Lepisosteus oculatus: one gene and its partners. The protein of the gene in region 4 interacts with the protein of the main gene of each other region in a pairwise test. Links are inferred from orthologs where the notes say so. Each region holds a gene or a part of one and is shown on either strand. Other genes may lie near its edges. The genes, in order: mfap1, wtap, rnf41 and vps52.

Region 1 (7,847 bases), on a different chromosome or scaffold from region 4:
CTGCTCTCACTGCTGTAATCTGTACCAAATGAGTGACACATTTGGGTATGCATGTGTAGTTTACTTGCAATCTTATTAGAATAAACAATGTGAAAAGATATTTTCTTGTGTAACCCGAATAGTGTGCACTACATCAGTTGCAGTGTTCATTTTTGCATTAACAGATGTTCTAGGAATGGATTTGCTGTGTTTCTGCAGGTATGAAATGGTTAAGTAAATGAGAAGTATATTGATTTGTCTGTAACACTGCCTAATTTATTACCTTGAATCCGTTGATTAAATTTACATCTTGTTAGGATTGTATCACCTCCAGCACTGGAGGAGTTCAAATGTGTGGTCAGCTGTCAGTGAGCACGTTGTTGTGCCCCCCTGCAGGCTGCACTGCTCCATGACACAGTGGAGGACACTGACACCACCCTGCTGGAGCTGGAGGCCATGTTTGGGACGACAGTGGCGCGGATCGTCCAGGAGGTGACCGACGACAGGTCCCTTCCCAAACAGGAGAGGAAACGGCTGCAGGTGGAGCACGCCCCCCACTGCAGCCACCAGGCCAAGCTGGTCAAACTGGCTGACAAACTGTACAACCTGAGGGACTTGAACCGCTGCACTCCCACTGGTGAGTCACCTACAGGGCAGCCACAGAGAGGCTCAGGGAGCTCAGCAGGTGTGAGCCTGGTCAGTACCTGGATGGGAGACCTCCTGGGAAAACCTAAGGTTGCTGCTGGAAGAGGTGTTAGTGGGGCCAGCAGGGGGCGCTCACCCTGCGGTCCATGTGGGTCCTAATGCCCCAGTATAGCGACGGGGACACTATACTGTAAACAGGCGTCGTCCTTCGGATGAGACGTAAAACCGAGGTCCTGACTCTCTGTGGTCATTAAAAATCCCAGGGCGTTTCTCGAAAAGAGTAGGGGTGTAACCCCGGCGTCCTGGCCAAATTTCCCATCGGCCTTTATCAATCATGGCCTCCTAACAATCCCCCTCTATGAATTGGCTTCATTACTCTGCTCCCCACTGAGAGCTGGTGTGTGGTGAGCGTTCTGGCGCACTATGGCTGCCGTCGCATCATCCAGGTGGATGCTGCACACTGGTGGTGGTGGAGGGGAGTCCCCATTACCTGTAAAGCGCTTTGAGTGGAGTGTCCAGAAAAGCCCTATATAAGTGTGAGCAATTATTATTATTATTTGAAAATACGATCTCCTTCACAGCTGTACATATACATTTTTATAGATCACTTTTTTTGTGATGTGAGCCATTATGCAGTGTTTCAGATTTTGTCACAATAAGAAATGATAGCTTTGGGCCACAACAAAAATACGTTTTTGTTGTGTTGTAGCCTGACATTTGTGTGACTGCGACTGAACGTGTAAGATCGTTTGTAGGGTTTTAAAAAAAAACATTATGGCTCGAGTATATGTTTCGCAACAGGAACTCGGAGACATCCTGGTCTTGTAAATATTTGCATACCTTCTTTGTGCATGTTCCCCTTTTACTTTACCGCAAGATAGCTATTCCCTGTTATTGCCCTTTCAGTATAACTTGAACTTCCTTATGTGCGTGCATAGGGTAATTTAATACTTTCCACTACAATGTGGTCAACCCCTTTCAGAGTGAGCAGACTCGAACGTCCTGATGTGTGTGATCTGCTGGGCGTGGAGCCGATGACTCCGACCTTGCGTTGTTTCAGGCTGGACAGCAGAGCGGGTGCAGGAGTATTTCCTGTGGGCAGCCGAGGTGGTGAAGCGTCTGCGGGGCACTAACATAGCACTGGAGGACAAGCTGCAGCAGCTCTTCAGGGAGAGAGGCATCGAGTCCTGACTCCCATCGGCAGAGACACCCCGTCCACAATCTCTACACTACCTCTTCTCCGGTGCGGGGCTCCTTACTCACCTGACGGGAGCAGAACTGGCTCTGCCCTAGATAGCACTGGCCTCGGCACTTACAGCTCGCGTTGTCTTTTGGTTGTTTCTGTATTATTAAAGACGAATGATTGTATTCTGTCCCGGTCTTTTTATAATCGTTTTGTTTTAACAGACTATAGGTTATGCATGCAGTAATTCCACATGTACAAGGTGCACACTTATTCAGTTTGTCTAATAATATAGTTACAACATAATTATCGTAGAACCAATATTATGTATTCTCTGCTTCAGAATACACATAATAAAATGTTCATCTGCAACTTCTTTGTCAAAGACAGTGGTTGTAATACATCATTGTTATTAGAAGATCTGCAGCCATTTGTGGTCAGGTTAGAGACAGAGACAAGATCTCCAAACCTCAATATATAAACCACTCATGCTAAATTAACCATTCTGTTTCCTTATGAGAAAGCAACACAACAAATAGGAAGCAACTACAGTAAATACTGTGCTCATTTCATAGTTACAGAAAGCTTTTATTTACTGTTACTGTAGAACATTTGAAAGAACGTTTGCTTTCTGTAGAGCAATGCAAACTGAAAAGTGTATGTGTGAAACTACCCTGATTTATGTTCAAATGTTGAGCACTGTGAGAGAGACAGCTACAGTGTCATAAAGATAACCATTGTTTTGAACACCATAAGACCCCACACTACTTGAGGTTCACAATCTCATGAAACATTTAAAACTTTAAATAGGCTTAGTGGTATTATAGTAAGCCTATGCCACTGAGGGAACAAATAGAAACCAAATATTTGCCTCAGTCATGTCAGCTTCCTGTCTCTGCAGAATCATCCCACCCTGTAGGTGTTGGGGTGTGTTTTGTTTCTTAAAACGTGTTCACAACAGTTTCCAACTGAAACTACAAGTTTGCCAGCACAAACAGGAAGCTACAGATCTGCATACTGCAGGAACGGAGACAGAAACATGAAGGTTCTCATGCTGTATTGGCTTGCTGTGTTCACTGTTGGAGTCAAAGGTAAAACAGGGCAAGACTAGTAATATATTCCTGAGAAGTGAGTACAATGTGAAAACAATTATTAATTTTAATATAACTCCTAAAACACGATGGGGAAAAGCAGTCTGTGGTATGTAAAAATACCAGATTGGTGGATAGTCTCATCTGCAAAGGTTTGTTTTGCTTTTATTGTCTAATGGTAGCTATGAAACCATAAAAAGACAGGAGAAGTAATTTAAAGAAATATGAAACTATTGCTAATCATATCTTTTATTATCTAAAAGAAATGCAACTTAAACTAAGTTTTACTATTTTTTTTATTTTTAGGTTACCTTGAATATGACAATGAGTTTTACATTGAAATCTTGGGATTACGTAAGTAAGAAATTCTAACTCAACCTGGAACTTCTTAACCTGGAAATCTGTAGTGTGTGTAGTAGGGCTCTAGAGATCTTCCACTTTTACAAGCAAATGCTTAATGCAACAATGAATTAGTGACAAATCATTATTCTGTTATGGAAACTTATGGTTTGCCTCTGCATGGTTTATATAGCAATATCTAGTTTTCAGCAAACACATGTTGCACATCATCATTGCATGCAAATCTTTTAAGACTCTTGATGGGATTTATAGATGTGAAATGCAGTTTTCATATACTTTCCAATGTAATGATGACTGTGTTTATTGGTGTCTACTAATTCTTTCTGTGTGTACTGTATGTGTACCTAGCAATGAACAAGTGTCCTGTTCAGAGTGTAGTCCTGCCCTGCCCCCTATATTTCCTGGATAGTCAACTATGACACCAGAAAAAAGCAATATTCTGATGGTGGGTGATTGCTTAATGGTCTTGGTCTTGTTGCAGGATTTCCTGGACCTTGGTTCTGGTACACATTATATGGTGTCTCAGTTTTTGACGCGGTCTGTGTTCTCATCATCTCTTCCCTACATGTGAATTTCCAGTTGCGCATGAGACAAGTGAGAAAAAGCACTGCCCGAGAACAGAGGAGTCTCATTTCCTCTAATGACTTTGGCCTTGTTTCTGTCGCAAGTGGAAGAACGCAGCTGACCGACCTCTGTGAACTTCAGTGTTAACCCCATAGAAGACAGAATCTTCTTGCAACAATTTTCTACAATATACTATATGTTCACTTTTTCCTCCCAGTCTGAAAACACGAGAATGAAAAAAAAAACCCAGAAACAACTACTTTTATAATAAAATGGCAGTTACAGTGCTCTACTACTAATACTCCCAGATGTAATAGCATTCCTGTAATTTTGTTTTTCTAATGTAAATTAAGTTCTTGAATAAAATAAAGTAATGTGACAAAACAACGACTCTTTTACTGCATGATCCTATTTCTTCCGGAAGGTGGTTGTGTGTTGTGTGTGAGAGAAGAAGGCGAGGAATCTGAGGTGAATAATTCTCGAATAAGAATCGGCACAAAATGATAAAAATTGAAACTCCAAAACTAAACTCACGTTATTCTACTTTTGAAAATATCCTCCATTCATGTTCTCGTCTTTTTAGTTCAAATGTAAAGAAAGATGTTTTTGATGGGACACGGCATAGAGAAATCAATGTAGCGATACATTTTCTTAGCAGTGTTAACTTATATGCAATGTTGACGTACAGTACATTATTTTCTATAAAATATACTAAAACACAAACCAGCTTCAAACCGTAGATTTACACTAGGTTTTCGTGCTTTCAAATTTTATTCCAGTAAATATTTTAATAAAAATAATCATTGCTATTTTAAATAATATTTCTATAGATTATAACATGTTGTTTATAAAACCTACGGAATTAATTTGTTGTTGTTTTTTTTCATTCGCCCACTACGTTAATGAATGTTGGTCCAAAATAAAGATTAAGGAGGAAGCTCTGTAGTTTTTTGTTGCAGTTCGGAATCCAAGCACTGTAACAACATCCGGCGGCTTGGTGTCGTATTTCCTGTTTCTCTGCTACGGAGAGGAAGGAGATAGTTGTTGAGTGTGTTGTGAAGCTGATCTGAGATACATTTGTTTCTTTTGCATTTGTTTTTGTCATTTTTACCGTCCAGTCATGGCGGCACCGAATTCTCTCAACGTGAAGCAGCCGCCGATTCAATCCACGGCCGGAGCCGTGCCGGTGCGCAATGAGAAAGGTGAGTTGTTGGACTGAGGCTCCGCATAAAGCGAGGACTGGTGATCATCGGGCCCTTGTTTTCGGTTTGAAAGTTAGAATACCGAGAGGAATGTGTCCAAAATGATTGACTTTCCTACAGGTTGTCTGTGAAAGTGCACGAAAATATTAGTTGAAGTAAATGTTAAATAATTATACATTTAAGTTAATTTTATATTGTAAGACATGATGAAATACTGGATAAATACTTGTATCGGTATTAATAAATATATGATATAAAGTTAAAGTCAATAATTAATAACAAAGCGGGAGATTATTTGTTTACACTCGATACAAATACACATATAAGCTAATGAAAACGTAGACCCAATATTTTCGATACATATATGGTATTTGATAATACTACTGAATAGAGAAATGTTGGTATTTTTGTGTTGATTTGCGAAGTGTATGAATCCATTTAAGAAATTAAAATGCTACGTTTATGTGTGTTCTATAGATACAGATCATAATTGTTTTGGGTTATAATGAAACTCTTTAGCCCTAGTGTTGATTATTCAAACAGGTCTGATCGCAAGAAACGCAAAGGGTAATAAAAAACACCAGTCGTCATCGTTTCCAGATTTCTGTGACTATTAAGGGAGTTCCATGTAGCGCTTGTGTGTTATTGCAGTCTTCCAGAGGTGCGCTGTCTGGGGGAGCCAGAGAGAAGCAGGGAGTGAGGGACTCTCCCCAGCCCCTCTCTTGGGCAGCGCTGTGTGTGCATGTGTTCATGCGGAGGAGGGAGGTAATGGGGTTGCTGTGTCTTGCTGCAGGTGAGATCTCTATGGAGAAGGTGAAGGTGAAGCGCTATGTGTCGGGAAAGCGCCCGGACTATGCCCCCATGGAGTCCTCGGACGAAGAGGAGGAGGATTTCCAGTTCATGAAGAAGGGCAAGGAGGTGGAGCCGGAGGTGGAGCTGGAGGAGGAGGATGTGTCGGACCCCCGCCTGAGGCGGCTGCTGAACCGCGTCACTGAGGACGTGGAGGAGAGGTACCCTGGGGGGGGAGTGTTCATCCGCTGAGAACATCCCCAAGTGGCTTGACTTGGTGACATCCATCCATTTTCTAACCGCTCCCTCCAGTTCAGGGTCATGGGGGAGCAGGAGCCCATCCGGGCAAACAATGGCACGAGGCAGGGTACACCCTGGGCTTGACGCCAGTCCATGGCAGGGGCAGAGAGGCATAGACGCGTACACACTCGCACCAGGTCCAGTTAACCTACCGGTGTGCTTTTGAACTGAGGGAGGAACTCGGAGCACCCAGGGTTAACCCACATGAACACTGGGGGGACATACAAACTCCATCAGATAGCACACAATGCTAATCACTGCACCATTGTGACATTATCAGTTAAAAATGGAAATTGTGAACAAACAGAAGTTCATTTATTTTATTTTTCAGTAAATTTTGTATTGCAACTTCTTTGTGTTTTTAAGTGGATGTAACTGCATGCAGTATAGCTGTCATTTTTATATAGTTGATCTGTCATTCCAAATAACACTTTGATTGTCGTGATGGTCAAAATGGAAAGCGGCCTGGCAGTGGGACTAATAACATTATTTGTGGGTCATGTCGTTTTGATTCTTTTGCTGTGAGGTCTGATTGCCCTATCCCTGACACAGACCCTGCTTTTCCTCAGGTTGGCGCGACACAGGCAGATCGCAGAGCCGGAGCTGGTGGTGGAGAGTAGCGAGGAGTCGGATGAGGGGGGCTGGCATCCAGACCAAGAGGAGAGCAGTGAAGAGGAAGAGGAGGAGGAGGTTGACGATGAGGTAAACGCAGAGGAATTGGGTGTAATAACTGGATTCTAGTATGAAAGTGCAGATCGGTGTCTTTCCTGGGACAGTAGTTTGCTTATAAATTGACTGTCCTGGGATTATTCAAGAAGTGGTTTGTTGAAATTTTATCAGTTAGCTACTAACAAGCCAAGATGGGTCAGATGGTATTCCCTTGTGTGACTTCTCGTGTTGTAATGTTTTGATGTTTTCCTGACACGTGAGAAGATTATTTCCTGCTGTTCTCAAATCTTTTCATTGCTAGTGCTCTGTTAAGATGCTGTCTGATGGTAAAGAAGAGTCCCCTGTGAGCCCCTCTCCCCCCGGTGTTTGTGTGTAGGAAATCGAGAGGCGGCGTGCCATGATGCGTCAGCGGGCGCAGGAGCGAAAGAACGAGGAAATGGAGCTGATGGAGGTGGAAGAGGAGGGGAAGTCGGGAGAGGAGTCGGAGTCCGAGTCGGAGTATGAAGAGTATACTGACAGCGAGGACGAAACCGAACCACGCCTCAAACCCGTCTTCATTCGCAAGTGGGTAGTGCCATTTTGGGCGGAGGGTCCTAATACAAGATCGGAAGGTTTTGCTCTTTCAGTGACGCAGACCGTTATTGTTCTAATAATTTATCAAAAAGTTTAGTAAGCATCTGACTGCAGACAAGTAAAGAACTGGTACGTTTGGCAGGAACATTATTTCAGTTTCTTTTCGTTCTTTGCTGTAAGAACACGTGGAGTGTGTTAAACGTGTTTCAGAGTCTGAGAAGCTTTCTGATCCACATATTACTGTATTCCAATTCTAAAGTTCAGAATTGGAACAGAATAATGTGAAGTCTGTGCTGGGAAGAAATATGCTGTTACAGCAGTCTCCCCTCGAAGCTAAACGTTCGTTTTACTGAGGACCTGCAGGGCTGCTCAGCAGTGTCTTTACTGGGGCTTTGCCAGTGTAAGAAGCAGTGAGCAGGTCACTGTGAATGCGTACACTGCCAGAGTGGACTGCGGAAGCAGGCCCTCATGATGGAGCTCTGCTGGCTCTTG
Region 2 (7,320 bases), on a different chromosome or scaffold from region 4:
AATTGTAACCGCATAGTGTGAGGCATTTACATATATAAAGTTACAAATAAAAACACTATTCGCTTGGGATGTGTAGATGTGTGTTTCTGGACTGAACACATCTACTGCTACATCTGTTCTTTTTCTTTTCCCATTTACAACTGTTTTTTGTGCAATATATGCCAGGGACCCGTGCAATACATTTATATTTATATCTATATAATCATATGTGGAATATAATTTTTCTGCGTACTGTTCTGTTCTAGTTTGTTCTTTGTGTCCTGGACTGTAACTCTTTTAGTGCACACCTCACTGTACTGATTGTATTGTATGTATTGTATTATTATTATTATTGTATCATTCGTTACACTGTGGCTGTGTTGCCTGTGTTAAGCTGCTGTTGCACTGCAGTTTCCCTCACAGGATCAATAAAGTATCTATACTTAATTAACACACAATGCAAATGTTTAAAGGGTGCAACTGAAACTGGAGCAGTTAGAGCCAACAGTCTTCAATTTCAGTAAAATACCCTCCCTTAAAGTTTAGATTAAAAAAATTGTAAAATAAGTTAACTGAAGCAGTACAGCAGTGTGGAGGAGTGTTAGGAGTGAAAGGCTGTGGATTCAAATCCCATTGCTGATGTACCCTTGAACAAGGTACTTAACTCATATCAATCTAATACCTAGCCAAATCAATGGGTACAAATTTAAAATGTTTTGGCAAAAAAAAACTCCATGCCAAATATGAAATAATTGTAGAAAGTATCTAATTCCAATAAAAAACATTAAACCTTATATTATCTATATATGCATTTTCTTTCAGGCCAATACTGTGATGCACACTTCCCTTCAACAAATACAACTTAAAAACAGTATTTGCTACTTACTGTACACTCTTGCATTTCCTGTTCTTTTGTGGCAAGCCTCATGACAAGAATGTTTTCTCTTCTTGCAGATTCTTGTTGCTGCTGTTTCAGCTTCTCTTCAGACTCCTTCAATCCAGTCACATCATTCGCTAAACCAGAATTGGGCAAATAAAGAGGAAAAAAAACTTAACATTTCAAAAAACGCAACAGAGCATTCAAGAGCAGCTTTACCATCCTGTAAATTGATCACCCCAGATTTCTGAAGCTAAGCATACTTGACCCTTGTTCGGGGCCAAGATGGGAAAAACTCTAAAGAAAACCATGTTGCTGCCATTAAGTGACATTTGTGTCAATTTGAGGATAAATGTGTCACTTCCCTCTGGAACACAATTTCCAAACCAATACCCTTCTATTGTGAATAAGGACACTGTACTATAGGAGGTGGTCTTAAACATTAAACTAACATCCTGATCACATATTCAAAGGTTCAATATACTGTTCGAAAGAATAGGGGGGCTAACCCACATTCTGGCAAAAATCCACTTCGGACTTGCATTTGCTGGGAAGTTAGGCACCCAACAATTGTTTTCTCACATCAATCCAGGAGGAGGCTGCACTTAAACTGGTTGAAAAGCACTGCACAAATGCAGGTATTAAAATCTTGAGAGACAGTATATAAAGGTTTCTGAATAGACTGCTTAACAACAGGTCTTGTAAGAACCAATTAAGCAGCAGATGCTATGTATACGTGGTGAAATTAAGTAGCCTTCACAATTTATCTATTCATTTTCCAAATACAATTTTTATTAACATGAAAACATGAACTTACAGTTCAGTTCTGCATATTTTGCTTCCAGAAGTTGGACATATGCTTCATGCTGCTTCCACCTGAACAGAAAAAATAACATGAATTGCACAAGGCCAAATTAAGACGCAACGCCCCAGTTCCCTCCCTGCAATACAGATATTTACCTTACACAAAGTTCCTCTCTGGTCAGGGTCTTCAAGTCAGATTCACTAAGGCGAACCTAATCAAGCAAGAAGATGTTTAGTTGAAATCTCAACATTTAAGATCACTATGTTGAATGACCTGTATAACATTTCCTATACTGACCTTCTTTGGCAGAGGTTCTTCATTAGTCATTCTGAACTCTGTAGGGGAAAGAGAAAACAAAACAATGGAAAGTCTCAACAAAATGTAGGAAACTTTTTTTTTGGGGTGTGCAAGAAGATCGACACTCAATTAATCACAGATAAATGAAGAGTAGACTTTGACGTGGATTTCACACTGTTATGGTGAGTTAACCAAAAAGAAACAGGCGGCCACAAAAGACAGGTCAACATTATGCGACTTCTTAAAATAGTGTGGGGGGGGGGGGGGGGGGGAGGGACAAAAACTTGTCAACAATTTTACAATCCACATATATTAGATCGACATTATCTCTTACAAATTACATCTTTCCGCAGCAAACTAACTTTAACGATAGCCTCAATCATTGACTCCATCACATAGGCTCAGCTACAACCATTGATTTCAGATGGTAAGACAGAGGTGTACGGCGTCTGAAGTTGCGCTTCGGCTGATAGTGCTAGCAAAACGAAATCCAAAATATTCGGACTAGAAAGTTTCCAGAATTTTCCAGTAAAGCTACAACCAATTCAAAGTATTTTTCAGCTTGTGTAAACACCTTCCCCATCAAAACAATTAAAAAAACACCAGTTAAAAAGCTATCAACATCTTCTTGGGACACCTAATTTATTTCAAGTACTGCCAAGTAAATGCTCAGTAAAGAGCCAACCTAACAGCTCAAGTCCTGTGAGTATGTATATATAAGGTGACAAGGCGCTCGGTTCCACTGTTTTTCTAATTTTTATCATTTCTTTTCTCATTCAAGATAAAAAAATATCCTGTGGAGGTATCCGCCCTCCCCTGTCTTGCTAAAGCAGAACCATCATGGTTTTGGTATACACATCACGCTGTTTTCGTTACTTTTAAATACAAAGTATAAAAACACTTAGGTACAAACATGTAAAAAGACACTTTACGTACGTGTAACCGTGCTCGCCAAAACTAGCATAAATATCCGGGAATCATTATGTTGTGTTTTCGCTACCTGCCGGTTTCTTGTGTTTGCAGCTTCTCGCTGCCACAAAATGGCGCTGAAGGAAGAGTGTCGGACTCTCCCGCAGCCGAGACTCACAATCCTCCCCTTGATAACCACCGTTACACCCCTGAGGGAAGACTTACCAGACCCGTCTTTCTGCTGGCTAGAAATCCTCTTGGACAAACGCTATAAAACGTTAACAAAAGCGAAATTAAAAATAAAAACAAATCGGGAAATCTTTTTTTTGTCTCGTTTCTCCAAACACCGATGCTATTTGCCCAAATCTCTCGCCGCCGCCATGAGTGAGAGGAGGAGGAGCTTCCGCCGCAAAGCATCATAAGGTGGACGCGCGCAGAGCGCAGTGGGCCGGAGGATCAGCGCTCCAGACGGAGGGAGGCGCAAGTCTCTTCCAGTTGTCATAGAAATATGTTATTATTCAGAGAATCCACATCCTGTAATATCGCACACATCAACAAAGTTCAGTACATAGCTCGCTGTCTGAAATCCCCAGTGATGAATATGGATTTCAACATTTATGATAATAATAGTACGACTATGAAGACTTAGAGGAAAAACACATAATGCATAGATATATTCTGTCGGCACGGTGGCGCAGTGGCTAGCATTGCTGGGGTGCAATCTCCATGGAGTTTACATGATATCCCCCTCTTTGTGTGGGTTCTGTGGCTTCCTCCCACAGTCGAAAATGCTGCCAGGTTTATTGGCTTGTGGGAAAGCTGGCCCTGGCGTGGGTGTGTGCATGTCTGAGTTTGTGACAGTGTGTTTGCGCTGTGTGGCATCCTGCTCGGGGATATCCCATCATGCTCCTGCGGCTTGCTAGGAACAGGTTCCTGCCCCCCGAGCCCTGTAGTCGATAAAGCGGTTATAAGATGGATATATAGATGGATAATTGTGCTTAAAGGCACTGTATAAAGTTTGTACACAGAGGCTTTAAAAAGTGCAACAAATACTGTTGTTTCAATACTCGTGCACTGTTTAATGCTTCACAGTGTATCATTAGTGTTGTTGTTATATCTATAAATTGCTATTTATGTTTTCATTTGGAATTAAATGTGTAGTTTAATCTTTTGACACCCTGTTCCGTCAACTCCAAATTCATGTATATTTCTGTATTCCATGCAGACAGCTTCTATCACTTGACAGGTATGTCTATTTGCAGGTGTTCATGATGGAATGTGGTGATTACGTGTATGACTCATTTACAGTCCTACTGTGATTTTATTAGGGGTTAGCTGTCACAGGTGGTGATCCCAAAATACAGAATAATTTTAGCTTTTATAGCCAACTACTCCACCGAGCAATTACAAGAGTGCTAGGCCCCTTTTTCCCCACCAGAGGTTCTTCTTATCTCCCAGTACCTCCAGTGCACCCACAGACCAGACAAGACAGTCATTCTTCATAATATGCCATTTTATTGTAGTCTACCGATCACACAGAGTCCATGACAAAAATTACCCACATGCCAGCAAACCATATGAGCCCCATGGACCCCAGTTTCCAAAACCCAAAGTCCCAAAGCAAAAGTCTAGTAATGCTGTTTTGGGTCAGTGACCTGGTGTGCCTCCTTCTGCCACAGCAAAGACATTATGTGTTGTCTTAGGCATCCTCTTCAGTCCCGGCCAACCCAAACAATGTGGTCCCTCATGCTGAGTCTAGCTAAGTCCAGTTGTTAGGGGGGAGGACGATGATGCCGGGGTCTTCCTCTGCTGCTCTCTGTAGAGTCTCTAGTGTATGAGTCCTCTCCTGGGTCAAACAATGCAAACTGTGTTCCCCTCAAGTCTTCCCTCTCAAACACTGCCTGAGTTCTCCTGACTGCCTAGCCAGGACTCAGGACTCGTTCTTGGGAGGGCTGGGATGGGGCATGTACTGTAAATGTCCCATTTATGTGTTGCGTGTGGACAGAGCTAACTGCGCAGGGCCTCATTGAAGAACTGGCTGTATGCAGATACATTGTCTATTGTTGTATTGTAATGTATTGTAACAATACATTGTCTATGCTTACCCTCTTCTGGAGCCCTGCTCCCTCTCGGTCTGGGGCCCAGTTACATGCCACCTCTGAACTGTGCTGTAATTAACGAGCGTGTACGCAAGACGGACCTTTGACCAATGGGTGGAAGCTCAAAGAACAGGGAGAGAAAGGCATCAGCCCTTAGAGAGACACTGTTCTGTGTGACCTTAAAGTCAGTTTACTCAGTAAAGTCAAGTACAGTACTGTATTCTCTGCCCTAACTCAACAACAAACATTCAAGTCTTATATTTAAGGCTACAAACCATCCTGATTTTCCCAGTGCTGTCTTCCAGATAGCAGAATCAGAATGTCCTTTATTGTCCACATACATTGGAAATTTTCTTTTGGATTCACTGAGACAACAATTAAAACCAAGTAAACAAAACTGTAACTGTATGTAAAGGAACAAGTAATAGGTTTATTCCATGCTAAGAAGAGAGAAAACAGGTGGAGAGAAGAGGTGAGAGAGACAAGAGAAAGAAGAGGTGTTTTCTCTCTTCCATTTTCACCATGGAATAAACCTATTACTTCTTCCTTTGCACGCATGCTGACGCAGCTACCAACCTGAACCACTTTAACTGTATGTAACATATGTCACATGATTCATACAATCAATGCAATATAAATAACAAAACCATACAATACAACATAATACAAAACCATAAAACTCAAGTGTGAAACATAAGATTTAAGTGTGACCGTACAGTACATGTGCTGTCAATGCAATGTTGTGGAAGGAATCAGAATTTAAAAGAGTAACGGCACACAACATGAATGACTCCTTAAAAATATTTTCTATAGCTTTTGAATGTGAGACATTCTTTAAAATTAACATTGCTTTCCTGTAAACAATCCTAGTATAGATGTGGTTCAGCTGGTTCTGTTGAAGTCCCTGCCTCACACAGTGATATTGACAAGTATGGGTTTTGCAATACTGTCCCAATTTTCCCCTGTTTTGTCAATCACCCGTGGGTGGGTAAAACCAGGGCATGGGGGCATCACAAGTCTCATGATTGAGTCTAGGGACTCACAAGGGGGCCAGCAGTATTGATCACGGAAGCCTCCAGCTGCGGCCAAGAGGAGGATCATCACAGTAAACCTCTGGATTCCGGCTCTGGGAGCCAGACTGAACTTAAATTTGATTACATTTGCTCATTTGCTGCACATCTGTAAGTGAAGTAAATAGTTCATACTTACAGCCCAAGGCAAAGAGACACCAGGATCTTCGCCACTAGCAGAATGTCAGAAGGTTCCACAATGGTCATTTTTACAATATATACATTATACATTACCTGTTCTGTTGGATATGAAGGTTTAATTTCTTTGTTTGGCTATTCACTAGATTTCAATCTGACATATACAGTAGAAACATTTATTAAATTAGTACAGGTGGGTAGCTGCGTCAGCATCCGTAGGCTGCAAAGGAACAAGTTATAGGTTTTTTCCATGCTGAAAAGAGAAACATTCTTTGGGTGTGAGGCTCCACAGCCGAAACTTTGTATTTTCTTTCTTCTCTTTTCAGCATGGAATAAACCTGTTGTTCCTCTGCATTTATTAAATTAGATTACTTGACTGTAAACTCCTAAAATGGTATATTGTGTCAAATAATAATAATAATAATAATAATAATAATAATAATAAGGTTGTTCCTACAAATTTTAAGAATTTCAGACCCTCTGCAGTTTATCTCCACATACACAAAAAAGTTTGACAGTGCCATCTAGTGCTGACATGGTGCAAATATAGTTACAAAGAATTTTGATATTTTCTGTCTTGATGTCTTTGCTGTGTAACATGTAAAAAATACATTGCAATACCTGAACCTGATAAATGTTCATTTCAAATGTACGTTCAAAATTTAAGGCTGTTTAAGTTATATTTTTAAAATATGTATACTTGGTAAAAGCAAGTTAAGGGTTTAAGTAAATTTACAGTTAATGTTATTAGCATATAGATACTAATAACATCAGCAAAGTGTACATAACAATGTGCAAACCACTCGTACCAGGGATTCATTTTGAATATCGTGTAAAATTTTGGTCACCGCGTTTCATCATCATCACTTTCAATAACCGTTTATCCAACTTTAGGGCACGGAAGCCAGGAGCCTCAAGGCAGAACAGGGAAGACTCCAAGGAGACCTGATAGAGGTATTCAAAAATCCTCAATGACGAAGTGACACACTAGGCTTCTTCAGAATGAACCATGAAATACGAACCAGAAGACACAACTGGAAACTTAAAGTGGAAATATGGAAATGCATTTAAACCATTAAAAAACGAGAACAGGAATGCAACTTTCACGTCTCCAGAAATGAGCTGCACTGTCAATCTTCCCAAGAA
Region 3 (6,964 bases), on a different chromosome or scaffold from region 4:
CCTTTGGGATTAAAAGCTCTTTGTAAAAGTTTTTTTAATTTTCTAACTGGGTGGGCAAAAATTACAACAGAAGCAGATTGTACCAAGCAAGTCTAACTGGAAAGTGTTAAAAGATATTTTTGTTTTATTTCAGTGCTTTTGTAATATTGTTGATGAGGCCTTTAAAACCTTCCGAAGCTGAGGGAAAGTGATCTAAAAAAACAGACATCAGTTGTCGGGTCAGTAATATTTTCCATTGTTCTAGTCCTGGCAGTGATTGAATTGAGCCAGGTGATACTGGCTAGCGTCCTGTTGGAGCTAGAAATGTGCATCAAAACATCCAGTAAAGTGTGTGGGGGTTACAGAGGTCACTTGGTTTTGATTTTCCACAAGGCACACTGGCTTTTTCCTGTGCAGGTGGTTCATGACCCCACGCTGGAAATTGGTCAGATTTTTCAGGAGTTTTAATTTGGCAGATCCCTCAGGTTAGTGTTACACGTAGAAAAATAAGATTTAGCATAGCCAAGAAATGGGAGGGAGGCCAGTCATTCTCTATATTGCTGTTTACTACCAATAAAATAATGGAAATCCTTCCTGTCTTGTCCACAGGGTGAAGACCAGCAGCAGAGGAACAGCCCATGTGACTGGGGGGGGGATACCAAGCACATAGAAGATGACCACCACTTCTGCGTGAGGTACCGAGCTAGCTTGGGTCAGCTGTCCTTCATGTTATGTGGGAATCAAAGACTTCTAACAGGGTTTTATGCTAGTAGCCTTTGGGTTCTGCTCTGTGGTTGAGCCAAAACCTTACCTGGTGAAGCAGTCAAAAAAAAAAGGGAACCACTCCTACAAAAGACATGTAACTTTTGTCCAGTCCAGCTGTTTGCAGTGCATTTGGTGAACAGCTTTTTGGAAAAGCATGGAACATTGACCTCCCTGGTACTACAGTCTTTCCACATTTAGCAGTGTACTGGGTGATGTGTTAACTTGTGTTAAATAGAACAAACAGACTTTGCAGGGCTGCTGTTTCAGCAAAGAACATGTTCCTTATTCTCAGAGGTGCTTTGTACTTGACTGTGCCTGTTGCTGTATGATTCTCTAATTCACGGTCACCACATGCCTGTCTTTAGACAGCTAAGAGTGCTTTAACTCAAATAGAATTTTAATTAGACACGCGAGTCAGGATGTGTATTTCCTGTGATGATGTATTCATCTTTGATGCGAAGCAAAAAGAAACTGAAATGTTTGAATTTGCATTTATTAACCACAGTACACAGTTTGCTGTGTATATGGTCTGCTGCTGTGAAGCACGGTAGACAGACAGTATAAGATTGCAGGATAAGAAATGCAAGGGAACATCCGCATGGGAGTGACTCACTACTTTGTGTGCTATTTACTGTATATATACAGTACCAGGTTTGCTGTTTGAGTCTCAGCCGAACTTATTTACTGTAAACGCTACATCAGTGGTTCTTAATCACTTTTTCTGTTTTTTCTCCATCCGGCTCCTTAATAACAAATTCTTATTTTTTTAATTTTCTTTCAGCTCTTTAGCTGTTATATGCTTTTACTAATTGGCATCTACTTAGTCTAACTGGAATTGGCACATAAGCAGAAGGAAAACCAAACACACAGCACCTGAATGTTGGATAAATTGGCATTCCCATCTGTGACTATTCAGCATAAACTTGTCACCTAACAAGATGTTTTATAAATCAGGGATTGTTAATTGCAAGTTGAGGCGACACTATATGTTTGTGTGCTAAAATTGTAAAAAATGAAAATTTACTTTTTAAACCAAGGGCTCTTGGTGTCTAAAAGTAAGCAAGCAGATTGATTCTATTAATCAGTTAGCACTGGTGATCATGGGTTTAGTCCCTGTAGCTCAGGGTTCCCCTGGGTGTGGTTAAAACAAGAACATGTCCATTGGATCGATCTGTGCATGCTTGCAGAACTACTAAAGGGTTACAGCACAGATTAATCTGTGCGCTTTTAATTAAATCTCTATACCAGAATAATATTTGGTCCTGGTCTTGAGATTTTATCCTTTTAGCTGTAGATGTTCTTGTGCTTGTCATTTTCCCTCTTCTAGAAATCTGATCTTGCATGTACAGTATATACTCTTGCACCATAACCTAAACACCAAGTTTGTTGATTGCTTAAAAGAATAATTGTATTTCAAAACTAACCCATGCGTTCTAATCCAGTTACAACTTCATTTTGTATTAAGAGTTTGATTCAGTGATTAGTTTTAGCATTCTAACTGATGCATTAACAAAACATACAAAAGGATGCAGACATCTCTACAGGGTGACGGAGGATGAATATTGCTGCTGTTTCTAAAGTAATTTATTTTCTTCTCTGAGTTTAGCAAAGTGAGCTAAAAAGGCATTGTGAATAAAGACAACAGATTTTTTCCTTTCGTTCAGTCAAAAGAATACAGTGCATTGGCAAACATGGAATTAACTGACTCATACAGAGGTATTCTATCCAAGCATTTTGGTTTCATAGACACCCCCTTGATATTGCTTATATATTTCTTGGAGGTGTCTAACTATCTATTGTATCTATTGGCATCTTGGTTAAGCCAAAGCTGTGACCTCATGAAAGTTTTGTTTTTGCATGACTGTGCACCTGTCTGTCAAACACAGAATTGATTTATAAATGCTAGCATTGGCTCCACACAGTCTGGCGCCTTGATATATCCTCAAAATTCTGACATTTAACGTCCTTTGCCATTTCATTCATTGAGTGGATGCTAGAGTATAGTTTCTTCACTTTGTTTTTTTTAATAGTGCAAATAAGGTTATTAGTTCATACAAAGTTCAGCATTTAATGCTTTATTATTAAGTAGTTGTGGTTTCGCATTCGGAACAAATTTAGAATTGACATCTAAATGTAAAACAAAAACTGTCTAAAACATAAAAGGCCTGTATGTTAGCTGGAATGTGGTTAATGAAACAGTTCACAGCAACATGGAGCACATTCTCTTGCTGAATGTCCCCTGCAGTGGCTACCATTAATAAGCTGTTCATTTGTTATTTTCATTAAATGTAGTAATGGAATAAAAACCATAAGAGAACAGATTTAGAGAATATTTTTTTTCCCTTGGCCATGCCGTGGTAATGGAGGTTTGCGCATAGCTTGATTGTGTTTGAACTACAAGGCTCAAGAGCTGCTTTGGTAAAAAATCAGCTTGCTGAAGAGACCCTTTGACTCAGGAGCACTTCTCTTGCGTGTCTGTATTGCACACTGTCCCCGTGCTGCACCATGCATTCAAAACCCAGCTAGACTGCTGTGTGCTTGAATCGGGCATTTCTAACCCCCTGCCGCTTTCCGTCCTTCCCAGGTTTGATGGTTTCTGTAATGCGCCATGGGCTATGACGTCACCAGGTTCCAAGGGGAAGTGGACGAGGATCTCTTGTGTCCCATTTGCAGCGGTGTCTTAGAAGAGCCTGTGCAGGTACACCTGGCGATTTCGCGTCCTGTCACACACACTTCCTACTGTGCCCTGAATAAGCCCAGTCCTTTCAGGGGGGAGCTCATAGGATGGCATCCATGGGACAGACATTTATTTGATGTGTTGCTTACTTTGTTTTTTTTAGTAGTGTTTTGTCTGTGCTTAGATAGAAACTGTAAAATAAGTATGTTTGTGTGGTTAGAAGTTGACTGTTGGGACATGCTATCCCAAGCTTATGGTAAAGGCTTTGTTCAACTAGAATTCATTTTCTTTGGAGGAACAAGTAAAGGTTTATTTCATGCTGAAAGAAAGAGACAACATTTCGGCTGTGGAGCCTTCTTCAGGTGTGAAGTTCAGGTCATTTATTTTGGTCTTACTGGGTATTACTTAGTGTCATTCATGACTGAATTGATTTGTTAGATAACTGCCTCACCCTTATTTCTGCTTATTTATCTAGTGACGTAGTTATGTATAATGTTGTGTAAACTAAAGACTGTGGTGTTGAAGTAAAAATATCCAGAGCTTTGCTGTAAAGAGCATACTGGAATCTTGAAATGACTTCTTCACACAGAAATAATGTATTCATTTCAATGAAGTGTCATCATCTTCCCTGTTTAGTCTCAGCTTTATTTTCTGACTCGCCCTGTCCAGGGACCCTCATCCAGTTTCATCAACCAAGATCTGTGCCTGCTTGTCCTCCACTGAGACAGAGTGACAGAAAGAGGGTAGGGAGGAGGTTGAAACAGATGTTTGTGTTGTTCAGGGACATTTGTCTCTGAGCTGGAAGGCTAAAATCCTAGCAAAAAAGTATAATTGTAGTGTTTTGCAATGTGGGATCTTGAGATAACTGAGATCTTAGCTGGTTTCGTAAGACTGAACACCATGTGCAGCCAGGGTGGCCCGGCCTGTTTCTGTACTGCCGCAGACCTACAGATGTTTTTAGAGGAATTTGGCATCCCTTTCAACATCAATACATTCTACATTCATTATATTCAACGGTTGAGTCCCTGTAGCAAGGCCTTGGATGAAACTGAAGCCAAAAACTCTTTCTGTGTCTGGGTTTGGCATAATGGCCACTCATGTTGACGTTTACCTAGTTTTTTAACCCCTGATGAAAAGCCAAGTATATTGTTCCTGTAGAGCACAGCTGAGTGAGCATTAGGGCTGTTTGTGTTCCCTGACAGTTTCTCATCTGGGGGTATTTAATGGCGACCGATCTTTTACTCCACAGTCTAAAATAGCTTCTGTAATCGATTCTATTCTTGTTTTTCTGTGTCTATTGCCTTGGGGCTGTTTACATAAGAGACATTGCACAGACATGTCTTTTAAAAGCATTGCATGCTTTTAAAAGTTAGCATGAATCCCAAAAGACAATTTGACCACAGTTTCTAAAGTGTATTGAAAATCCAAGATGCATTTTTGAAGTATTACTGGTAATAATCTTCTGATGTAAAAACATTTAACTGTACTTTTAACTCCAGGTATGGAAGCTGATTATCGCAAGGGTTTGTGGAGCTTTTAAGGAGTGATGAGAGATGCAGAGGGGAGGGAGTGATGGGGGAGGAGAGAGATGTACTGATCTGCTGTGAGGGGACAAAGTGACAGAGCAAAGGGATGCAAAGATCCCTCCTTTACAATGTGCCTGTTTGCCTGTCTGCACTGCCTTTCTGAGCTGACAATATGAAGAAAGAGGAGGATAGGTAGTGTCCTAATCCTTGTCAGGTTAGGAGAAAGACTATGGACCAGTATTAGTCATGCAGAGTGCTGTTTATACGGAGCTTCAAATGTATTTCCTGAATGCCTTAATTCAGTCACTGCTGTCATATCCGAGGGCCTATGAGGTGAGTTTTTTTTCCCCCCACTGTTTTGCTTTTGAGCTTTCCAGCATAGTGACATGCAGCTACTGTATCCTTAGTGAAATGTTTTGTCTTGGGATACATGACAAGGAAAACCAGATAAGGCTAGTGCTTCTTCGTTCTAGAAGTCTGCTCTATGCATGCACTGCCCGTACCGCATTCATGTTGAAGTGCGGACCCTGGCTCGCTGCTGTTTTTCTCCCAGGCTGCAGACCTGTCTAGTCTGTTTGCTCTTGAGCATGTTGCAGAGGTTTGCGCAGCGAGCTGGCAGCTGTACAGCCAGGATAGGAATCCAATGCTTAGAAGAAACAAGTTTATGCATTTTGTGATCAGAATGTTTTTTTTCACCCACTTTAATCTTATTAGCATTGATCCTTCTTGATATAGCTGTTTCTTAAATTCTGTGATTTGATTGGTCTCTAATATGGGTTTATTAAAAAATAGAACATGTCTCAGCTGAAGTATGACTGGCTTGTATTCTGCTGGCGAACATTCTTAGACAAAAGCTCTGGCCTTGCTTAATTTAAAATTTCTGTACATTATTTGGAGTGGCCCATTACTGAACACTGGTGGTCAGTAGCTGTCAGCTTTACAGCTATTTCTGGAAAATTAAAGGCTTAGTCAATTTCAGTAAACTTTAATTACTCTACTTTTGACAGTCCTACTTGGCTAAACGTACCAATTGAGTCTTCTCAAACATTGACTGTCTTCCAAATTTTAGCTATTGCATTACCAAGGTGGGCAGCCTTGCCTCTGGTACTGTGTGGTTTCAGCTGCACTGAGTTTTGAAATGCTCTGTTGTATTTGCGCATGTCACTTATTCTTCAAGTGCTCCAGGAATGTGATTTTTATACTCTTTCAGAGTCCAATTGATCATATCTGTTCTGTATAGAGCTCTCAATTGGGGCAGGAAGTAAGGGATAATGCAGGTATTTTAGTCCTTAAAAATGCAGAGATTTGAAGCTTGTTAAGGAGCACCATGAATAGGTTTTTCACATACAGAATATTTACTGTTTTTTCTTTAAGGGCAATCATTAAATCAAATGTTGCTTATTTCTTTGGTTGAATTAGAGAAATCATTGTGAATGTGGCATACAGTTACAGTTTATAGAAGTGTTACTTTTCCTAATAAAGTAATTTCAGTGCTTGTAACAAAAAGCCATCAAAATGGAAAGACTCCTATCCCACAGTTTGATTTGTTTCTCAAAAGCTGATTAGCTGAAGTAATGAGTTAAATTCGACTAATAAACAGAAGAGACTGGAGATCCCAAGGAGCAGTACTGTGAAATTCTGCTCGTTATAAAACTGTGCCTAACTTTATCCATTTCATTTCGTATATCCTCTCCACAGGCGCCTCACTGTGAACATGCCTTCTGCAATGCCTGCATCACCCAGTGGTTCTCCCAACAGCAGATCTGCCCAGTGGACCGGACAGTGGTTACGCTGGCTCACTTGCGCCCTGTACCACGCATCATGCGCAACATGCTCTCTAAGCTACAAATAACCTGCGACAACGCTGTGTTTGGCTGCAAGGCTGTGCTCCGCCTGGACCAGCTGCAGTCCCACCTTAAAGACTGTGAGCACAACCCCAAGAGGCCGGTCATGTGCGAAGAAGGCTGTGGGTGAGTAAGTCTGCTCTTGGCCACCTGATACTCCTGTTTCATTTTGC
Region 4 (7,031 bases):
GGTCTGTATAGCCTGCAGCCCCACAAGGGGGCACTGTAGAGACCCGTACCCCAGTGAGGAGGGAGCAGTAACTGACCACAGGCCGCAGGGTGCTGCGCCCCCCTCAGGACACTGCAGTCTTACCTGGCTGTATTTTCCATCCTTGATGTCCTTCTGCCTGTTGAGGAACCAGTCTGGGATCTTGTACTGCCTGGGGTTCTGCATGATGGTGATGACTCTCTCCACCTGCCCCCGCCCCAGACACCCCAACACACACAGCAGTGAGCCCCCACACGTCCATCTAGACCCCAACACATCTCCACCTGCCCACCAAGACATCCCCAACTACACCCCAACACACACACACAGCCCCCTCTCCCCCCAGACTCACCTCGTCTTCGGTCAGCTCTCCAGCTCTCTTGTTGAGGTCGATATCAGCCTTCCTCAGAACAACATGGGCATATCGCCGGCCCACCCCCTGAACACACAACAACAACAGGGTCAGTCCAGCGCCCACCCCCTGAACACACAACAACACCAACAGGCTCAGTCCAGCGCCCACCCCCTGAACACACCACACTAGCAGGGTCAGTCCAGAGCCCACCCCCTGAACACAAATAACACCAACCACAGGGTCAGTCCAGCACCCACCCCCTGAACACACCACACCAACAGGGTCAGTCCAGCGCAAACCCCCTGAACACACAACAACACCAACCACAGGGTCAGTCCAGCGCCCACCCCCTGAACACAAATAACACCAACCACAGGGTCAGTCCAGCGCCCACCCCCTGAACACACTACACCAGCAGGGTCAGTCCAGCGCCCACCCCCTGAACACACTACACCAGCAGGGTCAGTCCAGCGCCCACCCCCTGAACACACTACACCAGCAGGGTCAGTCCAGCGCCCACCCCCTGAATACAAATAACACCAGCAGGGTCAGTCCAGCGCCCACCCCCTGAATACAAATAACACCAGCAGGGTCAGTCCAGCGCCCACCCCCTGAATACAAATAACACCAACCACAGGGTCAGTCCAGCGCCCACCCCCTGAACACACCACACCAACAGGGTCAGTTCAGCGCCCACCCCCTGAACACACCACACCAGCAGGGTCAGTCCAGCGCCCACCCCCTGAACACACCACACCAACAGGGTCAGTCCAGAGCCCTGAGCCCAGTCCTGACCCTGAGCACACAGCAGCTCAGTCCAGAGCCCAGTCCTGACCCTGAGCACACAGTCTACACAGAGACCCAGCAAGTCAGCCCTGACCCTGAACACACACCCTCAACACCCAGAGACACAGCAGGTCAGCCCAGAGTTCAGTCCTGACCCTGAACACACAGCAGCTCAGTCCACAGCCCAGCCCTGCCCCTGAACACACAGCGGGTCAGCCCAGAGCCCGGTCCAGTCCGGTCCACTCACAGCCCCGTGTCTCACCTTGATGGCGGTGATGGCGAAGGCGATCTTCCTGCGCCCATCGATGTTGGTGTTGAGAACACGCAGGATGTGCTGGAACTTCTCGGGGATAACGAGTGACTGCGGGTCAGAGAGAGACACAGAGAGACAGGGGGGTTAGCGGGCTCGGCTCGGAGGGAATATGGCCGGATCACACAGCACAGCAGCGAGCGCCAGTTTTAAAACAGACCCGCACCCGGTTCCGACCCAAACCGAGCCGCAGGGCCGGGCAGGGGTCCGGCAGAGGCTGCCCCGCGGCGGCCGGGGCGCCGGCGCCCCCGTGTGCAAGCGATGGCGGCGGATGCCTTGCCGGCTCCCCGGCAGCCCGTCTCCTCTCACCATCTTGTCCGCGGGTCCCGTCGCAAAGAGGCAGAGGCCGCGCTCTCGCGAGACTATATCGCGGGATCTCCGGGGAGGGGCTTCCGGTTCCGGCGCCCGACCGCCGCCGCCCCCTCCCGAATGCCGTCCGGTGGGGAAACACGGACCGAGTTCTTCTTGTGGGCCGCTGTCGCTGCCTTTTTAAGAGGACGGCGCTCTAAGTGGTGGTGGTGGTGGGGAGAAAAAAGAAACGGTTTTAAACGACTCCCCGTGATTCTTTAAAAAAAGAAAAGAAAAGGTCTTCCTTCGGTGCGGAAGAGAGCCGCCGGCCCGGCCCCTGTGCGGCCGGTGTGTCCCCAGGTTTTCCTTCCCCCTCGACTCTGAAACTCGGATCAGCTCGTCGGCACCTTCGCCGGACTGACTTTATTATTTAATATTTTGGTGCCCTCCGGGCCAGCGGGCGCTGGGTTTACGACGCCATTGGCTGTACTGTTGCGCGGTGCACTGGGGACTGACATGGCTTTCGAAGGCTGCGTGTTTCACTGTGGCGTTAAAAGCAGTTTCCCCCCTGATGGGCACAGAGGGGTCCGTTCTGCCTGGTGTTGGGGACAGTTTCCTCACCGAGAGAGGCGTTTGGACTGCGGGGTACCTTCGTGTGCGGAGAGCCACAGTTATACCCCACTGACAGGGAGCTGGAAACCCCTCCGCCAGCCCGGCCAGCCCGTCCGGGACCGGGACCGGGACCGGGACCGGACACAGCCGGTAGTGTTGGGTCCGTCCCAGTGTGTTCACACGATCCCGCCCCGTGTGTTTGTCCTCTGCACGAGTGCGAGGAAACGCTTCCGCGCCCGTCCGCTCCAGTCCAAAGACATGAAATAAATCGCCACAAACATCAACACGGAACAGCCGCAGCGACAACGAGAAGTTTAATAACACACGACTTGGATAACACATCCGTGTGAGCCAGCGGGAGGGGCAGAGTTCAGTAATCTGACAGCTGGAGGGGAAGAAGCCGTCTCTGAAGCTGGAAGTCTGCGCCTTTAATAATAATAATAATCATAATAATAATAATGAACTTTATTTTATATAGCGCCTTTAAGGTGGATGCTGCACATTGGTGGTGGTGGAGGGGAGTCCCCATTACCTGTAAAGCGCTTTGAGTGGAGTGTCCAGAAAAAGCGCTATATAAGTAAAAGCAATTATTAATTATTATTATTTAAAGGTGGCTTCTCAAAGCGCTTTACAGAATGACAGCAACAATAAATCCCCCCCAAAAATAGCTCCTATAACGCTGACCGGAGGGAAGGAGGGAGATAAAGTGAGGAACCGGGATGGCTGGTGTCCTGAACGATACTCCCAGCCTTCCTGAGACAGCGGGTAGTACAAATGCCCACCGTACAGGGGAGCTGAACTCTTTTTTTAGATTAAGTTTTTATTTAAACAGCAGAAATACAAGGGGGGAGACAAAATATTAAAACAGATACAAAAATAGACACTTGACAGCCGGAGGAATTCACAATTATAACAGCTAAAAATTAAACTTTTTACATAATTCCACGTGTTCCGACGGAGATTTTGCCTTTTGATTCTTTAAATGTCTAATCGAGTTTAAATAAAAAAAGAATTCTACCTTAAAAGCATTAATAGAGGGAGGATTCGCCAAAATAATTAACAGATTAATTACGAAGACGTATCGTTTATCCAAATCAGGTCTAATAAAATATAAAATAATATAAAAATCTCACAATTTAACATTTAACTTTAAATATTTAACAACAACATTTTGAAAATCTATCCAAAACAATTATGTATATATTTATTAACAATTAACAAACACACGTAACACAGATTCCTCATTCTCATTATTACAAAATACACATCAGTCATCTCGATCGTGTTTGAATCCAGAAAGTGTCAATTTAACCGGATAAAAATCTATGAACAATCTTAAATGTTATTTCTTTAACTTCATCTGAAAGACAGTATCGATCAGTATCATTTATTTTATATTTAAATATACATTTTATTGGAATATATTCCAATTTATTTTATATTCGAGTTCGCCGCATATGCACACAGCTAAAACTACATATAGAGTTTATAAATCTGAACATTGTCGTATGATGAAATGGTCCATCCCGTCCATGCGACATGTTCTTCACATCAGCTACGATCTTTACGGCAAAAAAATAATAATTCAATAATAATTCAATAATAAAACCCATTAAAAAAAACCCTCAGCGCAGAGCACGCCGGGAGGCGGGCGCGGGGGCTGCTGGGAGGCGGAGGACCCGGATGCGGGCAGTGATGGCGGCGGTGCTCCAGACTGCGGACGCCGGCCCGGCTGTCAGCGCCATGGCGTACCTGCAGGACGAGGTACGTGCAGCGCCTCCGCCCCGGGAGAGACACGGGGAGCGCCGGCGGGCGGCTCCTTGCTCACTCGTACGTGTGTGTGTTTGTATACACGTCCCTCTCCCCCATAGCCAGCTCCCAGCCTCTTACTGCTCACACAGGGGTCTCTCAGGGAGACAGGTGTGTGTTCCCCGTGTTACGGCTCTCCCTCTGTCTGTGTCTCCTCTCCCCTGTGTTAAGGCTCTCCCCCGGTCTGGCTCTCCTCTCCCTCTGTCTGTGTCTCCTCTCCCCTGTGTTAAGGCTCTCCCCCCGGTCTGGCTCTCCTCTCCCCCCGGTCTGTGTCTCCTCTTCCCTGTGTTATGGCTCTCCCCCCGGTCTGTGTCTCCTCTTCCCTGTGTTATGGCTCTCCCCCTGGTCTGTGTCTCCTCTTCCCTGTGTTTTGGCTCTCCCCCCGGTCTGGCTCTCCTCTCCCCCCGGTCTGTGTCTCCTCTCCCCTGTGTTACGGCTCTCCCCCTGGTCTGTGTCTCCTCTCCCCCTGGTCTGTGTCTCCTCTCCCCCATGTTACGGCTGTCCCTCGGTCTCTCTCCACAGATGAAGTCTGACCCAGATGACATTCCTGCTCTCAATCTGGGTGACCTGGACCTGACCTCTGACGAGTTCATCCTCGATGAAGTGGACAGTGAGTGTAGAGTTGTGTGAGAGTGTGGGCTTGTAGTGTGTGTGTGGTGTACACTTTAACACAGCGAGTGTAGAGTTGTGTGAGAGTGTGGGCTTGTAGTGTGTGTGGTGTACACTTTAACACAGCGAGTGTAGAGTTGTGTGAGAGTGTGGGCTTGTAGTGTGTGTGGTGTACACTTTAACACAGCGAGTGTAGAGTTGTGTGGGTTTGTAGTGTGTGTGTGTGGTGTACACTTTAACACAGCGAGTGTAGAGTTGTGTGAGAGTGTGGGTTTGTAGTGTGTGTGTGTGGTGTACACTTTAACACAGCGAGTGTAGAGTTGTGTGAGAGTGTGGGCTTGTAGTGTGTGTGGTGTACACTTTAACACAGTGAGTGTAGAGTTGTGTGAGAGTGTGGGTTTGTAGTGTGTGTGGGGTGTACACTGTAACACAGCGAGTGTAGAGTTGTGTGAGAGTGTGGGTTTGTAGTGTGTGTGTGGTGTACACTGTAACACAGCGAGTGTAGAGTTGTGTGAGAGTGGGCTTGTAGTGTGTGTGGTGTACACTTTAACACAGTGAGTGTAGAGTTGTGTGAGAGTGTGGGCTTGTAGTGTGTGTGGGGTGTACACTTTAACACAGTGAGTGTAGAGTTGTGTGAGTGGGTTTGTAGTGTGTGTGTGGTGTACACTTTAACACAGCGAGTGTAGAGTTGTGTGAGTGGGTTTGTAGTGTGTGTGTGGTGTACACTTTAACACAGCGAGTGTAGAGTTGTGTGAGTGGGTTTGTAGTGTGTGTGTGGTGTACACTTTAACACAGCGAGTGTAGAGTTGTGTGAGAGTGTGGGTTTGTAGTGTGTGTGGTGTACACTTTAACACAGCGAGTGTAGAGTTGTGTGAGTGGGTTTGTAGTGTGTGTGTGGTGTACACTTTAACACAGCGAGTGTAGAGTTGTGCGAGTGGGTTTGTAGTGTGTGTGTGGTGTACACTTTAACACAGCGAGTGTAGAGTTGTGTGAGAGTGTGGGTTTGTAGTGTGTGTGTGTGGTGTACACTTTAACACAGCGAGTGTAGAGTTGTGTGAGAGTGTGGGTTTGTAGTGTGTGTGTGTGTCTCTAACAGTTTCTGTGCTCACAGTCCACATCCAGGCTAATCTGGAGGATGATCTGGTGAAGGAGGCTCTGAAAACGGTAAGACTGACCCCTGACCCTGACTGACCGCAGACTCACTGACTGACAGACTGACCCTGACTGACCCCAGACTCACTGATCCCCTGACCCCGACTGACCCCAGACTCACTGACCAACAGACTGACCAACAGACTGACCAACAGACTGACCAACAGACTGACCAACAGACTCACTGACCCCAGACTCACTGACCAACAGACTGACCCCAAACCCGAGACTCACTGATCCAAGACTCACTGACCCCCTGACCCTGACTGACCCCAGACTCACTGACCAACAGACTGACCCCAAACCCCAGACTCACTGACCCCAGACTCACTGACCCCAGACTGACCCTCTCTCCCAGGGTGTGGACCTGAGGCAGTATTCACAGACACACTGACCCCAGACTGACCCTCTCTCCCAGGGTGTGAACCTGAGGCGGTACTCACACACACACTGACCCCAGACTGACCCTCTCTCCCAGGGTGTGGACCTGAGGCAGTACTCACACACACACTGACCCCAGACTGACCCTCTCTCCCAGGGTGTGGACCTGAGGCGGTACTCACACACACACTGACCCCAGACTGACCCTCTCTCCCAGGGTGTGGACCTGAGGCGGTACTCACACACACACTGACCCAGACTGACCCTCTCTCCCAGGGTGTGGACCTGAGGCGGTACTCACACACACACTGACCCCAGACTGACCCTCTCTCCCAGGGTGTGGACCTGAGGCAGTACTCCAAGCAGGTGGAGGCGGAGCTGCAGCAGATCGAGCAGGCCTCCATCAGGGACTGTATCCTCTCTGGGCCCTCCCCTCCTCGTGGGGGGCGGGGCCTCGGTCACAGCAGCACCACTGAGATCGCAGCTCAGCGCAGGGGGGGCGGGGCCTCGGTCACAGCAGCACCACTGAGATCGCAGCTTGGTGCAGGGGGGGCGGGGCCTCGGTCACAGCAGCACCACTGAGATCGCAGCTCGGTGCAGGGGGGCGGGGCCTCAGGCATGGAGCCTTCACTGAGATCGCAGCTCAGCGCAGGGGGGGCGGGGCCTCGGTCACAGCAGCACCACTGAGATCGCAGCTCAGCGCAGGGGGGC

Evidence for each region.
Region 1: the proteins of vps52 (region 4) and mfap1 interact in binary tests that used the Homo sapiens proteins (3 or more experiments, as listed by UniProt). The two-hybrid records come from large-scale screens. The link is inferred for Lepisosteus oculatus from reciprocal best matches to the Homo sapiens genes VPS52 and MFAP1.
Region 2: the proteins of vps52 (region 4) and wtap interact in binary tests that used the Homo sapiens proteins (3 or more experiments, as listed by UniProt). The two-hybrid records come from large-scale screens. The link is inferred for Lepisosteus oculatus from reciprocal best matches to the Homo sapiens genes VPS52 and WTAP.
Region 3: the proteins of vps52 (region 4) and rnf41 interact in binary tests that used the Homo sapiens proteins (3 or more experiments, as listed by UniProt). The link is inferred for Lepisosteus oculatus from reciprocal best matches to the Homo sapiens genes VPS52 and RNF41.

Annotation. Positions count from the first base shown.
Region 1 is NC_090700.1:49,401,187-49,409,033, forward strand, and holds the start of mfap1 (microfibrillar-associated protein 1), read left to right. Parts: upstream 1-4,826; 5' UTR 4,827-4,942; coding exon 4,943-5,024; intron 5,025-5,817; coding exon 5,818-6,034; intron 6,035-6,682; coding exon 6,683-6,815; intron 6,816-7,158; coding exon 7,159-7,346; intron 7,347-7,847. Other genes in the region: hddc3 (guanosine-3',5'-bis(diphosphate) 3'-pyrophosphohydrolase MESH1), read left to right, coding at 376-616, 1,685-1,815. UniProt on the Homo sapiens protein: Involved in pre-mRNA splicing as a component of the spliceosome.
Region 2 is NC_090697.1:50,788,380-50,795,699, forward strand, and holds the start of wtap (pre-mRNA-splicing regulator WTAP), read right to left. Parts: upstream 3,001-7,320; 5' UTR 2,923-3,000; coding exon 2,895-2,922; exon of another isoform or gene 2,872-2,894; intron 1,997-2,871; coding exon 1,959-1,996; intron 1,873-1,958; coding exon 1,817-1,872; intron 1,733-1,816; coding exon 1,674-1,732; intron 994-1,673; coding exon 866-993; intron 1-865. UniProt on the Homo sapiens protein: Associated component of the WMM complex, a complex that mediates N6-methyladenosine (m6A) methylation of RNAs, a modification that plays a role in the efficiency of mRNA splicing and RNA processing.
Region 3 is NC_090696.1:15,789,532-15,796,495, reverse strand, and holds the start of rnf41 (E3 ubiquitin-protein ligase NRDP1), read left to right. Parts: upstream 1-3,941; 5' UTR 3,942-3,993; coding exon 3,994-4,164; intron 4,165-6,645; coding exon 6,646-6,917; intron 6,918-6,964. UniProt on the Homo sapiens protein: Acts as E3 ubiquitin-protein ligase and regulates the degradation of target proteins. Polyubiquitinates MYD88. Negatively regulates MYD88-dependent production of pro-inflammatory cytokines.
Region 4 is NC_090709.1:39,252,981-39,260,011, forward strand, and holds the start of vps52 (vacuolar protein sorting-associated protein 52 homolog), read left to right. Parts: upstream 1-4,021; 5' UTR 4,022-4,052; coding exon 4,053-4,133; intron 4,134-4,700; coding exon 4,701-4,788; intron 4,789-5,898; coding exon 5,899-5,951; intron 5,952-6,656; coding exon 6,657-6,732; intron 6,733-7,031. Other genes in the region: rps18 (small ribosomal subunit protein uS13), read right to left, coding at 124-225, 371-457, 1,422-1,520, 1,779-1,781. UniProt on the Homo sapiens protein: Acts as a component of the GARP complex that is involved in retrograde transport from early and late endosomes to the trans-Golgi network (TGN).